3 linked regions of the Caenorhabditis elegans genome follow. The protein of the gene in region 2 interacts with the protein of the main gene of each other region in a pairwise test. Each region holds a gene or a part of one and is shown on either strand. Other genes may lie near its edges.

The links. Proteins that work in one complex are often made in the same cells at the same time.
Region 1: the proteins of lin-37 (region 2) and cri-3 interact in a two-hybrid assay, tested with the Caenorhabditis elegans proteins (3 studies listed by BioGRID).
Region 3: the proteins of lin-37 (region 2) and lin-53 interact in a two-hybrid assay, tested with the Caenorhabditis elegans proteins (4 studies listed by BioGRID).

Annotation. Positions count from the first base shown.
Region 1 is NC_003281.10:3,394,846-3,398,950, forward strand, and holds cri-3 (Conserved regulator of innate immunity protein 3), read left to right. Parts: upstream 1-1,739; 5' UTR 1,740-1,744; coding exon 1,745-2,016; intron 2,017-2,066; coding exon 2,067-2,251; intron 2,252-2,301; coding exon 2,302-2,405; intron 2,406-2,454; coding exon 2,455-2,604; 3' UTR 2,605-2,782; downstream 2,783-4,105. Other genes in the region: Protein clpf-1, read left to right, coding at 2,909-3,068, 3,486-3,683, 3,994-4,105.
Region 2 is NC_003281.10:7,069,609-7,075,131, reverse strand, and holds lin-37 (uncharacterized protein), read left to right. Parts: upstream 1-2,579; coding exon 2,580-2,704; intron 2,705-2,753; coding exon 2,754-2,888; intron 2,889-3,325; coding exon 3,326-3,605; intron 3,606-3,652; coding exon 3,653-3,822; intron 3,823-4,012; coding exon 4,013-4,130; 3' UTR 4,131-4,242; downstream 4,243-5,523. Other genes in the region: ZK418.13 (Pollen-specific leucine-rich repeat extensin-like protein 1), read left to right, coding at 303-848; ZK418.5 (BOS complex subunit TMEM147), read left to right, coding at 1,299-1,371, 1,418-1,551, 1,729-1,926, 1,977-2,113, 2,164-2,299; tmem-17 (transmembrane 17 domain-containing protein), read right to left, coding at 4,247-4,408, 4,476-4,598, 4,647-4,760, 4,813-4,851.
Region 3 is NC_003279.8:9,616,888-9,621,570, reverse strand, and holds lin-53 (putative histone-binding protein lin-53), read left to right. Parts: upstream 1-1,810; 5' UTR 1,811-1,813; coding exon 1,814-1,969; intron 1,970-2,023; coding exon 2,024-2,607; intron 2,608-2,654; coding exon 2,655-3,168; 3' UTR 3,169-3,360; downstream 3,361-4,683. Other genes in the region: nra-2 (Nicalin), read right to left, coding at 1-72, 113-245, 288-831, 890-1,016, 1,064-1,215, 1,261-1,338; putative histone-binding protein rba-1, read left to right, coding at 3,470-3,613, 3,661-4,101, 4,144-4,295, 4,356-4,610, 4,669-4,683. UniProt on the Caenorhabditis elegans protein: Core histone-binding subunit that may target chromatin assembly factors, chromatin remodeling factors and histone deacetylases to their histone substrates in a manner that is regulated by nucleosomal DNA.

The DNA of each region.
Region 1 (4,105 bases), 3.7 Mb from region 2:
ATTTTCGGCAAAATGTGGTTTTGCACCTTTTTTTGGAAATTTCAGAATTTCAATTTAAATCGGCAAAATTGTACGCACCCTATGAATGTTCCTACGTCTATTTTGAAAAATAAGCAACTTCTATGAAAATTTCTTTAAAAAGCGGGATATAAATTCCAAAAAGGCAGTTTTAAGTGGTTCCGTCTTATAAAAAGTGCCTCTACACATTTCCGGCAAATCGGCAAACCGGCAATTTGGCGATTTGCCGAACAGCACTTGCCGCCCACCCAATTCCCGGTATAAAAATGTAGATTGTTTAATATTTTCCCCCGGCCAAAATTCACATTAAATGCGACGAAATGCAATTTTTTTTTCCTCAAAACTGTAGCAGAAAATGGAGAATTCTCTCCGGAAAGCAGAAAAAACGTTATGAAGTGATTCACATGACTGGCAAACATAACATAAACGGAAAAGAGCGGAAAAACAATCGATATTCTTCGGAACGACGGGAGAAGCAGTGAAGAGAGTGAAGAGACGGAGAGAAGACAGTTCCCATTCGTTGTGTATTTATACGGAGACAGTTCCTTTCGAATGTGTGTGAAAGGACATTGGAATGAGGAGGTATATATGATGACTTGCCGATAAACAAGATATTCCGACGGAATACGGAATACGATTTAATTTCTGGGAGGTTTTGGGAACGGAATTTGGGGTCTAAACACTATGAAATACCGAAAAAATGGTTTTTTAAATTTGAAAGTACGCCAGTTTTTGCCCTAAATGACAGAAAAAATCCTCACTATACAGGACATTACTGCTGAAAAATTAATAAAGATTTCCTGAATTTTGTTTGATTTTTTAATTTTTCCAACAAAAAACCGAATAATTTTTGAATTCCCGCGCAAATAAATGTTTTCTAGATCGGTTTTTCTAGATTTTTCATTATTATTTGATTTAAAACATGATTTTTCGAATTTTAAAGAGTTTTTCCGTTTAAAAAACGCTATGACCTCGAAATAAATACACTGAAGCTTCAAAAATTCCGAAAAATGCCAGAAAACAAGTTTTCTAGACGAAAAAACTTCTGAAAAACTGAAAATTAATGAAAAATCGAGAAAAACCAACGATTTTAGCCAGAAACACGAAATTCGAAAATTCAAAAGTATAAAAATATTCCTTAAAATCGATAATCTCCTAGTTTAATCAATAATCTTCAAAAAATTCTAAACATAAATTTCGCAATGCTGCTTTTTCAAATGACTCATGACTCATCGCGCCAGCTGCGCAGCTCTATTCCATGTTTTTACAACAAAAAATCGATTTTTCTGGCAATTTTCAGTTTTATTATATAATTTTAAGCCCAATAGTCAATAATTTCAAAGAAAACGCACTTTAAAATCATTTTAAACAAGAAAAAATCGATTTAAAATGAGAAAATATGGCTGAAAAACGTTTGAACACAATTCCAAAGCGCGCCAAGTTAAAGGCGCATGCCATTTTGCGGCGAAGATATCTTGCCACGAAAGGCTCTATTTGAATTATTTTCGTCGGCTTTTCGCATATTCTCTCGCTTTTTCTTCGGTTCTGCACGCTTCCACTGATTTTTTCGAGGTTTTTCATTGAAATTATTGATTTTTGACAACTAAATTAGCCTAAAATCAATTAGAAACGCTTTATAACCTGATAATCTTGATTTTTAGCTCGATAAAAACTTGCATCATTTTTGGAAAATGTAATTTTCTATTTTTTTCTTCTTTCAGGTAAAATGAACACTGCTTCCCTTGTTCGCTCCCTGTCCCGAGTGGCTCTCCGTTCATCCCAGGTCGTCAGAATGGCCGCTCCACGCCATTTCTCACAATCGGCCAAGGTTCTGTCAGTAACGCCAGAACTTCAACAGGCCCTGAACCGTGAGATCGAAGCCGAGCAACAGCTGAGCAGCGACAATCTTCAAGGAGCCGTTGCGCCGACATTTGCTGGCTTCCAAGTCACCAATAAGGACGCCGAAGTTAGGCTGACCAAGAAGAATGGAAGCGAAGAGTTCGTTTTTTTCAGAATTTTTCATAGTTCTAAAGTTAATTTTTTTAAAGCATTCTCGTCGTCTTCAATGTGAACCACTCTGTCGATATGGACGAAGGATTCGACGATGAGCCATCCCAGGCCGTCGCTCCAGTTCCAGTAGCCATGCCACCATTCACCGTCGAGATTACCAAGGGAGATCAGAGACTTTGCTTCCATCTCGAGCTTGTGCCAGTTGACGATCAACCTGATGAGTGTAATACTCGATTTTATCGAAAACTCGAATAAAATATATACTATTTATAGATGATTTCCGCGTCGAAGAGTTCTACGTCGCCCCATCTGCCAAGAATGGAAACGAGGACGTACCATCCGAGGTGTACGCTAGCAGTGGAAAATATATCGATCCAGTTAGTAGTCCCAAGAGGACCGCAAATTATTGATTTTTTCTAATTCCAGGACCTCCACGATCTCCTGTTCGTTCGTTATTTGGAAGAACGCGGTCTCGATGCTCGGTTCTGCAAGACTCTCGTCGCCTATGCCACTCACTACGAGCACTCTCAATACGTTGGACTTCTCGACAAGATCAAGAAGTTCATCTCCAAATAGATTGCTTTCTGAAATTTTTTCAATTGTTTTGTTTTTTCTGTCTTTTATAACTTTACTGTTGACGTTTTTAGGTAATCTAAATAAGTAGCACATTTTCTTTCAGCTCGTTTATTTTCCTTAGTTTTTTGTTCTGTTTTGAGGTTTCTCTCCTCCAAAAATAATAAACCCATTGTTTTTTTCTTCTTTTGTAGTTTTCCGCATCCCAAATTTTTTGTAAATTAACTATGTCTTTGCTTTATCTAATTCCGCGTTTTTTCCTGAAAATTAAAAAATCAATAAAGCCTCATTTTCAGATTCCAAAGAAATGAGCGAGGAGAATGTTCAAGAGTTCGTTTTGAAAGAGGACTGTGAGCTGAGATTTGCCGCCGGAGACGATTCGGATGTCTGTCTGGAGCTCGTCAAGGGATACGCTGAAATTTTTGGCACAGAACTGCTGTTAAATAAGAAATATACATTTCCAGCCAGTAAGTTTTCCTCGAAATCTGGATTTTTTTTCAACTTTTCAAAAACTCCCGTTTTCTGGCTATATTTATTGCTCTTTCTCCGTTTTTTTTCTGTAATATTTCGCTTGAAACACTGTTTTCCTAATGTTTCCGCAGAAAAAGCACAAATTTCTGTGAAATTATCGACTTTTAGGTCAATTTCCAAGTTTTAGCGTGTTTCTTTGCGGTTAAAGTAGAGAAATTCGCTGAAACTTCATCTTGAAACTTGGCCTAAAAATCGATAATTTCAGATGTAATCATTTGTTTTATGCGGAAAAGTCTGGAAAACAGTGTTTTAAATCAAATATCACAGAAAAAAATTGAGAAACACCAATGGATTTGGCCATAAAAGTCAATTTCGGCCCATTTTCTGCCATTTAAAACCCAATTTTTCCTCAGAATCTCGTGTGGCGGCGTTCACGTGGAAAGGCGCCACAATTGAGCTCGTCGGCACAACCGAGAGCGCATACGTTGCCGAGAGCACTCCGATGGTCATTTATCTGAATATTCACGCAGCTATGGAAGAAGTTCGGAAGAAGAGAGAGGAACAGGCGGCTGGAAACTCGAATAAGGCAAAAGGACCGAGATTGCTGTTGGGTGAGCTGATTCTAGGCTTTTTTTGGAGATTTTTCGTCGAAAAACTGAAAATTTCTGTGGTTTCTGCAGGAAAATCGAGTAAAAATCATTTGAAATACTGGAAAAATCAATATTTTCAAGGGGCGGGGGCTATTTGCAAGCCTGGCACGGTTGTTTTGCAACCGTGCCGCACGGCCCGCCCACCTTTTTATTTTATTTTTTTTCGGAATTTAAGTAATTTATTTTTATGTTTGGCTTCGAAAAATGTAGAAAAAACCTTGTTTTCCGGTTTTTTACTGATTTTTAACCCAAAAAATAATTAATTTTCCAGTTGGACCAACGGACGTCGGAAAAACCACAGTCTCCCGTATTCTGTGCAACTATTCGGTTCGCCAAGGACGTACCCCGATATTTGTGGAGCTCGATGTCGGTCAGAACAGCGT
Region 2 (5,523 bases):
TTAGCATTATTACGATTTGTAATGCCTCGGGTCCTGGCACGAACAAATTTTTTCAGCTATCGTACCCGCATATACGGTGGATTTCCGTTTTTATTGATATTTCTAGTGTAATAATTTAATAGAAAACTAATTAAAAACACAAAAAAGTACGAAGACTAGCGGGTACTCGAGATGAAAAGTATGCGGACGTGTCAAGACTTCGCTCCCAATTTAGCTTTAAAAATATTTAAGTTCGCAAAAAAATAATTCGATGAAATCGAATGTAATTTCTATTAAAATTATTTTCAAATTATGAATTACAGCTCCGAAACCTGCCTGGCCAAATCGGAATGTCTGAGCTGGAGCCGGAGGACCTTGAAGTTACACCGGACCCACCCGAATTCATTCCACCCCGGTCCCCAGGTCTCCAAATCATGAAGCCACCGCCCGTATCGCCTCCGTCTAACATTCCCGAGCTCATCCATCATCAACCGGCACTTGTCACACAACCCGAATCAAGACCAGATCCAAATTTGATCATTTTGCCGGCTCCAACTGATGTTCATCCGCCAAAGTCCCCGGTGCACCATGTTATCAAGCAAGAATCCATGAAGGACATCCCACCGGGATCACCTGCATCTCCAGGAGCATGGTCTGGCTCCAATAGCTCGTTGATCTTTATGCCATCTTCTACTCAAGCACCGGAACATTATGCTATTCCATCCGTTTCCAATGTTTTGATGTTTCGTAAAATGGAACACATTTTCTACAGCTCGGAATCCAACTGGTGGTTGCTCGTGGCACTGGTGATGCTCACAATTTTTGCGTACCGCTCTTCTATGGAACAACACACTTGCTATTACGATTGATGATTATGATTATAAAGATCTTTTTATTTGTAAATTATTTGTTTTAATACGAATTCGAAAAGTCTGCCATATGATAGAAAGTCCTATTCAAACTTCGCGCGTAAATGGTTCTCAATAAAGCGCGGTTGCACTACTCTTTTTTTGTCGCTCTTCGTCAACTTCTGGTAGCGTGAGCCCTTCAAATATCATCATTCAAATGCCCATTTTATCGATTTTATTGAATTTTAGTTATTTTAAATCCAATGATTATTCTCAAAATGAATTTCATAATCATCGGCTGGTGTTTTTGAAGGTTTCTAGTGTGTCCAAACGAAATTTATAGTCCTAAAATATTAACATTCAGTAATTCATAATTGCTTAAGAATTAAAAATTACCTTCTTTGTTCCTTGATATCAAGTATATAGTTTTAATATTAATTCAATATCTTTCAGGTAAGCTAAATCTACAAAATGTCATTTTTCCATTTCATCAATTGCTTCGCGTTGGCATTTGCACCATATTTTATTGTCTACAAATACTCAGGTAATATTTTTTATGGGAAGTCAATGAAACACCACTATTTTTATAGGAATTAACGAATACAGTTCCATCTGGAAATGTGCAACTGCTAGTGGTGGATATTTGCTGACACAACTCGCCAAACTGCTTATCATTGCCACATTTTTCCCAGCCCTCGACAGTGAAGGATTCAGTATTGTGCCGGTATGTAATTAATTTTTCTATTCAAAATTGGAGCTATAAATAACGTTTCAATGAAAATCATTTTAATTCAAGTTTTAAGTGAAATTTACCATAAACCCATCCTCGCCGGACATAATCCTTCGGACACTTCAAACTTATTGATTTTGGTTTTCATTGCCAATCTCAGAATCATTGCAGGAATTCCTAAAAAGCAGTGCTGACATCATCGATGTCATTGGGCTTCACCTTCTGATGACCAACTTCTTAGCCGGAAAAGGAGAAGTTCGATTCGTTGTCGGTGGTCTTGGCTGGGGATTCGCTCATTCTGTTGCTCATCGTCTTGTTCTTTTATGGGTTGGAGCTCGTGGAACCGCTTTCACATGGCGTTGGGTTCAGGTGATCAAATCTTCCTTTTTTCTGAAAAAAAGATAATATTATATTTTCAGACATCTCTTGATTCCTCAGCTGATCTATTGGTTATTGTGTCTCTCGCCTGCCTTACATGGATGATCACCCGCACTCCAAACAAGTTCTTGGTGTCACCGATCCTTGCGATGTGTGTCTTCTCAACATTCGTTTATCAGTAAGTATTGGTTTTACTAGTCAAAAAATGTAAATTTTTTTTTATTTCAGAACCGTTCAACACACATTCTCTCTCTACGGATGGTCTCTCTTGGCATTCCGCTTTGCCTACTCCATCGCAACAGCAATTCTCACCGTCGTTGTCTATTCGGCAAACCGGACAGCGTCCACAAGAAAGAACGAGTAGCAACACATATTCTGCTATAATTCACTTTTTGTCAGTTTCAATACTATCTTAGATTCTTTCAGAATTTATATATTTATTCGAAATTTTCTTCTCTCCTTGTTCATGTTTATACAAGTACCCAAAAATATTTATTGTTTAATTTAATAACTGCTTCAAAAATTGTCGTCCTTATATTTACTCTACAATTTTTATCTCTTTTTATTAAAGGTTAAATACCTTTATTACTTTGGCAAGTATTCGCTGTTCACTGTCCAAATAATGTATTCCTCTCCAATTCTAGATGTCAGAAATAGATCCACTTGCCGAGTTCTTGCTTCCAGAAGACGGAGATCGAAATGCTCGTCAAAATGATCCATTGATAAGCGGAGGTCCACTTCCATTGGAATCGCCAAGCAGAAAACTCACGTAATACTTTCTAAACTTGAAACAATTGTGCTACTCAAGATGCTTCCAGATCCCTGTTATCCTATGATCCGACAGTTCCGGAGTCACCGGATATGAAATTCGCCAGAAAACGTCTGGGAAATCTGCTGACAACCATAAAACATCACCCATCGGAAATAATTGGAGTACTCCCAGAAGATTATACGTAAGTGATAAAATGGAAAATTTCAATTCTTGTTTAATTTTCGGCAGAGTATACCATGCCTGGGGCGAAAAATCATTTTTTTTTTGGTTTTGATTTTGTATCAAAAAGCAAAAATATGTAAAAAAGCCAAAAAAAAATTGGAGATTGAATTTTAAACCTTAATATTTGAGAAAAAGAATTAAAAACTATGCAGAGCCACATTTAGTTTGAAAGAAAAGTAAAATAAATTTTGTACACAGAAAACGTTTACAGTAAATACAGCATTTTTTTTCAGTTTTTTGGTTCCAGATAAATAGTTAATTTTTGTCAAATGTCGCGTCCTGGAATATACATAACAGAAAAAAATTTAGACAATGTGGACCTTTTTGTTTTTCGTAATATAAATTTTAGACATAATTGAAAAATTAGAGTTTCCATTGCATTTTTTATAATTTCAGTCGTGCTGATGAAGAGCCCGGGCGCCAAGGACGTCCACCAGGTCGCCCTCGTAAGATGCCGCGTCACGAATCTTCAACTTCACTTATGGAATCACCACGCAAGACTATGACTCGTGATTCTAAAATTATGTTTGAATTGCGTGGAAAACCATTCGAAATGATAGCTGGACGTTTTGAAGAAGAATATTCACTTGGTAGAGCATGGGTTAAAGGACACATGAATAATGAATATGAACCAATAAAAGCTCAAAGGACAGACTATGCACCGAATCTGGCTGTTGTGAGTGGGAAAGATTAAATGAAAAATGTTATAATTATTTCCTTCAGGATTATCTTGCATGTCGCGAGATTCATCGAATGCCACGTCCAGATAAATCAATTCCTGAGCTGCCAATTGTTCCATCTAGAATCGATGAATTCGACGCTACAGTCGATCCAAGATATGAAACAGATTTGAAAAATGAATACATTCGTCATTGGAAACAAGTCAAAAAAGGGTAACACTTCTTCTGCCATTGAAAATTTCCGTAAAAATTTATTTCTTAAAGTATTACGGTAACTGTGCTCTATGTTAGAATTTCATTTGTCGAATTTTGTATCAAACTATAAAATAAAAAATATTGTACTAGCAATCTGTGATCACTACTATTTCTTCAAAGTCAGAGAATCCAAAAAAAAAAATTTCAGTTGGTGTGCTCATCAACGTCGTCGGACTGCTCCCCATGCAAGAAGCATAGCATTAATCAACAAAATCTACCAGCCTGGAGAGTCGAAAACTGTCGAGCAAGCACTTGGTCTTATTTAAATATTCTAACATGTAATTTCAATTTATCTCTTACTTTCTGATCTTGCTATCACATGTCTCTTATTTCAAAAATCTCACTTTAAAATTCATATAAATAATGGGTTTATTCAAATACATCATCTTGACAATTGTTTTTTCAACGTTTTTCTTCCACTTTTTGGAGATTTTCCTGAAGTTTTCTCGAGCTCGTCAGCTACTTTTTCTTGTTGAATCTTGTTAATATATTTTGCAACTTCTCGTTCGGCAGTTTTCATCAAAGCTTCTATAGCGAATACAGTCTGAAATAGAAATATTTTGAGAATATTCAGATTTTTGAATTTTCACTTGAAATCCACTAAAAATCACAATCATTGTGTAGAAAACGTATTCAAGTGGGAGATTCAGAAAAGAGCCATTCACTGCCAAGAATACTGTAAGAGGAATTTGAATAATAATTGTAGTTATTAAGAATCCAAAAAGAGCTGACATCTGTAAACACTAGTGTCGATTTTCTGACTTGACTCATTCAAAACTTACATTTTCTGCCAAATTTCCATAAAATCCAAGTCCTAGCCGTACTCCTTCACTTCCCAAATGAACTAAACACGCAGAAAATGCAATTACTTGATACGTTAATGACAGCAGACTATGCTGAAATTCAAATAATGCTCTAAGTATGTTCCACTGTAATTTTTTTTTTTACCTTGAAGTATAATGATAAGCATAGATTAATCAAATGCATAGGATAGATGCATAAGTTGAAATATATTGCAATTTGAAGTGGAAAACTTGAGATTATTTCTGTAATAATTTTTTAAAAAAGTTGTGAAAAGTGGTTTTTAGAGATTCTCACCCAACTTAAATGGTTCTTGTGATAGATTTTCCATTTTTAATAGCACTAGGACCCCAAAGAGGTTACGAGGCGGTGGGCGGTTACTATGGAAACCAACCACAGAAAGGGAAATGGTGCTCCAATGTGGAGATGGAGATGGAAATGTGTAAAACGAATTGAGAAAATGTTAAGCTACAATTTCAGCTATTTCTTTATGAGCAAAATATAATTCGTCAAAACATGAACCTAAACTTTTAAAACAATGTTTCGCGAAAATTTTAACCATTGATTGTTCATAGTTTTTTTTTAAAATGATTTTATCCCTTCATTTAGCTCTGCAATCAGGCTCGTCTTAAATGTGGCATTACGTTCTCGGGTCTTGCCACGAGCTAAAATTTTCAGCTACCGGACTTGCTAATATTTTGCAACTTCACATTGAGGGTTTATTAACTTTATGATTTTAATTGTACATCTGTATATTTATTAGCAGATTATCGAAAAGAGTATATAATAATATTAGAAAATTCAGCGAAAATTGCAATCTACCGTACTGGCGGTTACTGTAGCGGAATGGTTAAAATC
Region 3 (4,683 bases), on a different chromosome or scaffold from region 2:
CTTACTGTCGTCAAAGAGATTTTTTTCGTTACCAACTCTATATTCTTCTTTGGAGAAATGCTGCTGAAATATCTTACGAACGATTAAAATCAATAAACTTTTAAAACAGTACTTAAGTCTTCTGAGAAGTTGAGCTGCTACTGAATTTTCTGATGGTGTCTTTCCAGCATGCATGAAAAATCCTCCCGTTTTGCGACCAATTGCCTCAATACATATTGCCAAGTCAACACGATCATCTGAAAACCCTTCAAAACCGGTAAAACGACACTCTCCTTTTACTGCATTACCTTTTCTAGAAAGTCCAGATTTGGCATAATCAGCGCTGTCAAAGCCTTTCTGGTACTCATCGATCCAGTGACGAGTTCCTTGATAATTGAGCTTTCCAGCTGCTGTCCAAATGAACAAAATATTGTATGGAGGACGTGTGCTTGGAGAATCATAGAATTTTGACAGAACAGCAAGCAATTCGAGAAGTGCAACTATACCAGACCCATTGGAATCAGCGCCAGGCGAGACTCCTGGAACGGCCGATTGTGTGTCATAGTGTGCCACAAATGCAATCGTAGGTGCAGCACGATCTCCACTACTCAAGCGACCAACAATATTCAGTGGTTTGTATGAAGGTGGAAGTTCTGGACTTTGATCGGAAGAAGTGATACTGATTGTGTTTCCGGAAAGTGATTGAAGCAAATGTTGCAGGGCTGTGGGAGCTTTTTCCGAGCGAGTATTGACATCGTGAAGAATAGAAACGGCGTCATCATTGAAAGGAGCCACATAAACAGCCAAGTCGGTCTTTGCGCTCAACAACTTTGCTTCAAGATCGATGAATGCCTGAATAATGAGCATAAATAACTTTTATGGCAATATGAAATTAAATGTTCAAGCTAACCTTCCGATCAATATCGTTAAGTTCATCAAGATTGTCGGGAATGAAAATAAGCACGGCACCGGTAGAAAGTGCCCACATGTCATCGACATCTGTTGTAAGAAGATCTCGCCATGTTGTAACCATAGTTCTAGATATTAAAATATTACTATTTACAAATGAAATATCCAAAAAAACCTGCGAAGAGTTCTTGCACCCAAGGAAACAGCTTCATATGATACGCGATAATTTTTGCATCCATAAATGTTACCACTGATTTCGTATTGATGAAGACGGTACGCATGAAACTCGGTTTCTACGACTTCTCCAACTTGCTGGGACCCGTTCACCTAAATATGGAGAGTTCATCTTCTAAATCATTACCAACAACTTACTACACAAATGGTTAACATTAAAGTCATGTAGAAAAGAAGAGCCGGACTTCGGAAAAAATCGATGATTTCATCCTGCATCTGAAAAAAACATATCTTAAGCTCAAAATCACGAGAATCCTGTGCAAATTAGGATGAAAGATCTTTCGGAGTAGGAATTATTTAATAACACAAACTATCATGATTCTACAGAAATCGATAGAATTAAACCAGAATTGATGATATATAATACCCGAGTAGGGAGAAAACTGCATGAGTTTTCTGAGCGGAATTCAAATGAGCCAAACATGCTCTACCGTACCTTGCAACAGCGGTGAAGGCAAATCGTTGCGAGACCCCTCCCCGCGAAAACCGCGACGCGCACACACTTTGAAAGTGGGTTTTATCGGTCTTCTACAGTTTTGGTCACTTTCCCGCATTAAAATTCTCTGTTTTAATATATTTAAATTCAATTGAATTAATATTTTATTATTCACCCCTTCTTTGTTGTATTATTTTATCTAACTACACTGTTTGAACGATAATTATTCTTTGCAAAAATTGAAAATTTCAGGAAATGGCCACTCTTGAAGATGGAACCTCCGAAGATCGCGTCGCAAATGATGAATACAAAATTTGGAAAAAGAACACCCCGTTCTTGTACGATCTCGTAATGACACATGCGCTTGAGTGGCCTTCACTCAGTGTTCAATGGCTCCCAGACGTTGCGAAGGTATGTGTTCTCATATAATTCACAACTTTCATGAAGTGAATTCAAATAATTTAGGATAACAGCGACCATACTATTCATCGGCTCATTCTTGGAACTCATACTTCAGATGAGCAGAATCACTTGCTTATTTCTAAGATCTGTATGCCAACGGATGATGCCCAATTTGATGCATCTCGCTACGATACCGAGCGCAGTGAATACGGTGGTTTCGGAGCTGTTAACGGAAAAGTGGAACCCGATATTCGCATTAACCACGAAGGGGAGGTTAACAGAGCTCGTTACATGCCTCAAAAGTCGAATATCATTGCTACAAAGTCTCCACATGCTGATGTTTACATTTTCGACTATTTAAAGCACTCTGCTGTTCCTCGTGATAACACGTTCAATCCGCTTATCAGACTGAAAGGACACACGAAGGAAGGCTATGGATTATCATGGAATCCAAACAAAGAAGGTTTGATTCTATCAGCGTCAGATGATCAGACAGTTTGTCATTGGGATATCAACGCAAATCAGAATGTTGCCGGGGAATTGCAAGCGAAGGATGTTTTCAAAGGTCACGAGTCAGTCGTTGAAGATGTTGCTTGGCACGTTTTGCATGATGGTGTCTTCGGATCGGTTGGTGACGATAAGAAATTGTAAGCTTTTGTTTTTTTTCTATTTATTAACTAATTAAAAATTATAGGCTCATTTGGGATGTGCGCACAAGCACTCCTGGACACTGTATCGATGCTCATTCTGCCGAAGTTAACTGTCTCGCATTCAATCCATATTCCGAATTCATTCTGGCCACCGGATCAGCTGATAAAACTGTCGCTCTTTGGGATCTACGTAATCTACGAATGAAACTTCACTCATTTGAATCACATCGTGATGAAATCTTCCAAGTTCAGTGGAGTCCACACAACGAGACTATTCTTGCATCCAGCGGTACTGATAAACGTCTTCATGTGTGGGACCTATCTAAGATTGGAGAAGACCAATCTGCCGAAGACGCGGAAGATGGTCCACCAGAGCTGTTGTTTATTCACGGTGGGCACACCGCCAAGATCAGCGATTTCTCGTGGAACCCGAACGAGCCTTGGGTTGTGTGCAGTGTGTCAGAAGACAATATTCTCCAAGTGTGGCAAATGGCTGATAACATATACAACGAAGTTGACGAAGAAACTCCAGCCGATGTGGTAGAGAGACAACAGTAAAATACGTGAAACGCGCTTAAATTATTTGTATTTAACTTCTATCCTTCTTTAATTTTGCATCTCAACAAATTGTTCATCTTACCATTTATTCAAACGCATATTCTTCACCAACTAAGTTTTTAAAGTTAAAATGTTACCTTGAGATATGATCATATTTTGTTGAACCTGAAATAAATTCGATGACCATTGTCAGATAACTGTTTTGAAATATTATGTTAACGTGATTGTTGTGATAGCTCAGATTGTGATATTTTTGGTTTTTTGTTGTATCTTTTGTTATTTCAGGCAATTTCAGAGCACAATGAGTGAAGCTGAATCGTGTGAAGAAACGAGTAAAGAACATAGAATTTGGAAGAAAAATGTTCCATATCTCTACGATACAGTCGTCACAAAAGAGGTCGAGTGGCCTTCTTTATCAGTGCAATGGATGCCTGATGTCACAAAAGTAAGAATCGGTAAATATGATTTCGCCTTCTTCATTATTTTTTTAAGACAGAGAACTCGGATTCATCGATGCATCGAATGATTCATGGAACACATACTTGTGGAGGAGTTCAGAATCATCTCATGATCTCAAAGTTCACAATAACGACAGACACACCAGAATTCGACGACGCTAAATGGGATTCGGAACGTGAAGAGTTCGGAGGTTATGGAGAGGGCAGCGCTGCAAAATGGGATACTGAGATTAAAATCAACCATCCAGGAGAAGTTCATAGGGCACGTTACATGCCACATAATCCTTTCATTATTGCAAGTCGAGGTCCTTCTGATGACGTTTATATTTTCGACTACACGAAGCACCCATCTGAACCAAAAGACACCAAATTTCGACCTCAATTGCGATTGAAAGGCCATGAAGGCGAAGGATATGGAATGTCGTGGAGCAACACCAGAGAGGGACATTTGCTAACTGCCGGCGATGACGGAATGGTATTTCTAACAAAAGATATACATAAATATACATTTTTTAAGATTTGCCACTGGGATATAAACGCGAATCAGACCATTTCCGGTCAAATAGTGCCACAAAGCAAGTTTAAAGGTCATTCATCAAATGCGGAGGATGTTTCTTTTCACGCGCTCCATAATTTCGTTTTTGGATCTGTTGGAGATGATAGAAAACTGTAAGTATAAATACATCATACCATTCTGTCGAGATTTCAAAATAATTTTCACGTCTTTAGAAACCTATGGGATCTGCGTCAATCAAAGCCACAGCTCACAGCCGTCGGACATACTGCAGAAGTTAATTGTATTACTTTCAATCCGTTTTCCGAATACATTTTAGCAACCGGATCTGTTGATAAAACGGTTGCTTTGTGGGATATGAGGAATATGCGCAAAAAAATGTACACGCTGAAACATCACAACGACGAAATATTTCAAGTATCGTTCAGCCCGCATTATGAAACTGTTCTGGCTAGTAGTGGATCGGATGAGTAAGTTTTTTCCTAATAAGTTGTATTTGTTTAACCTATGAAATTTCAAAAATTTCAGTCGGGTTATCGTTTG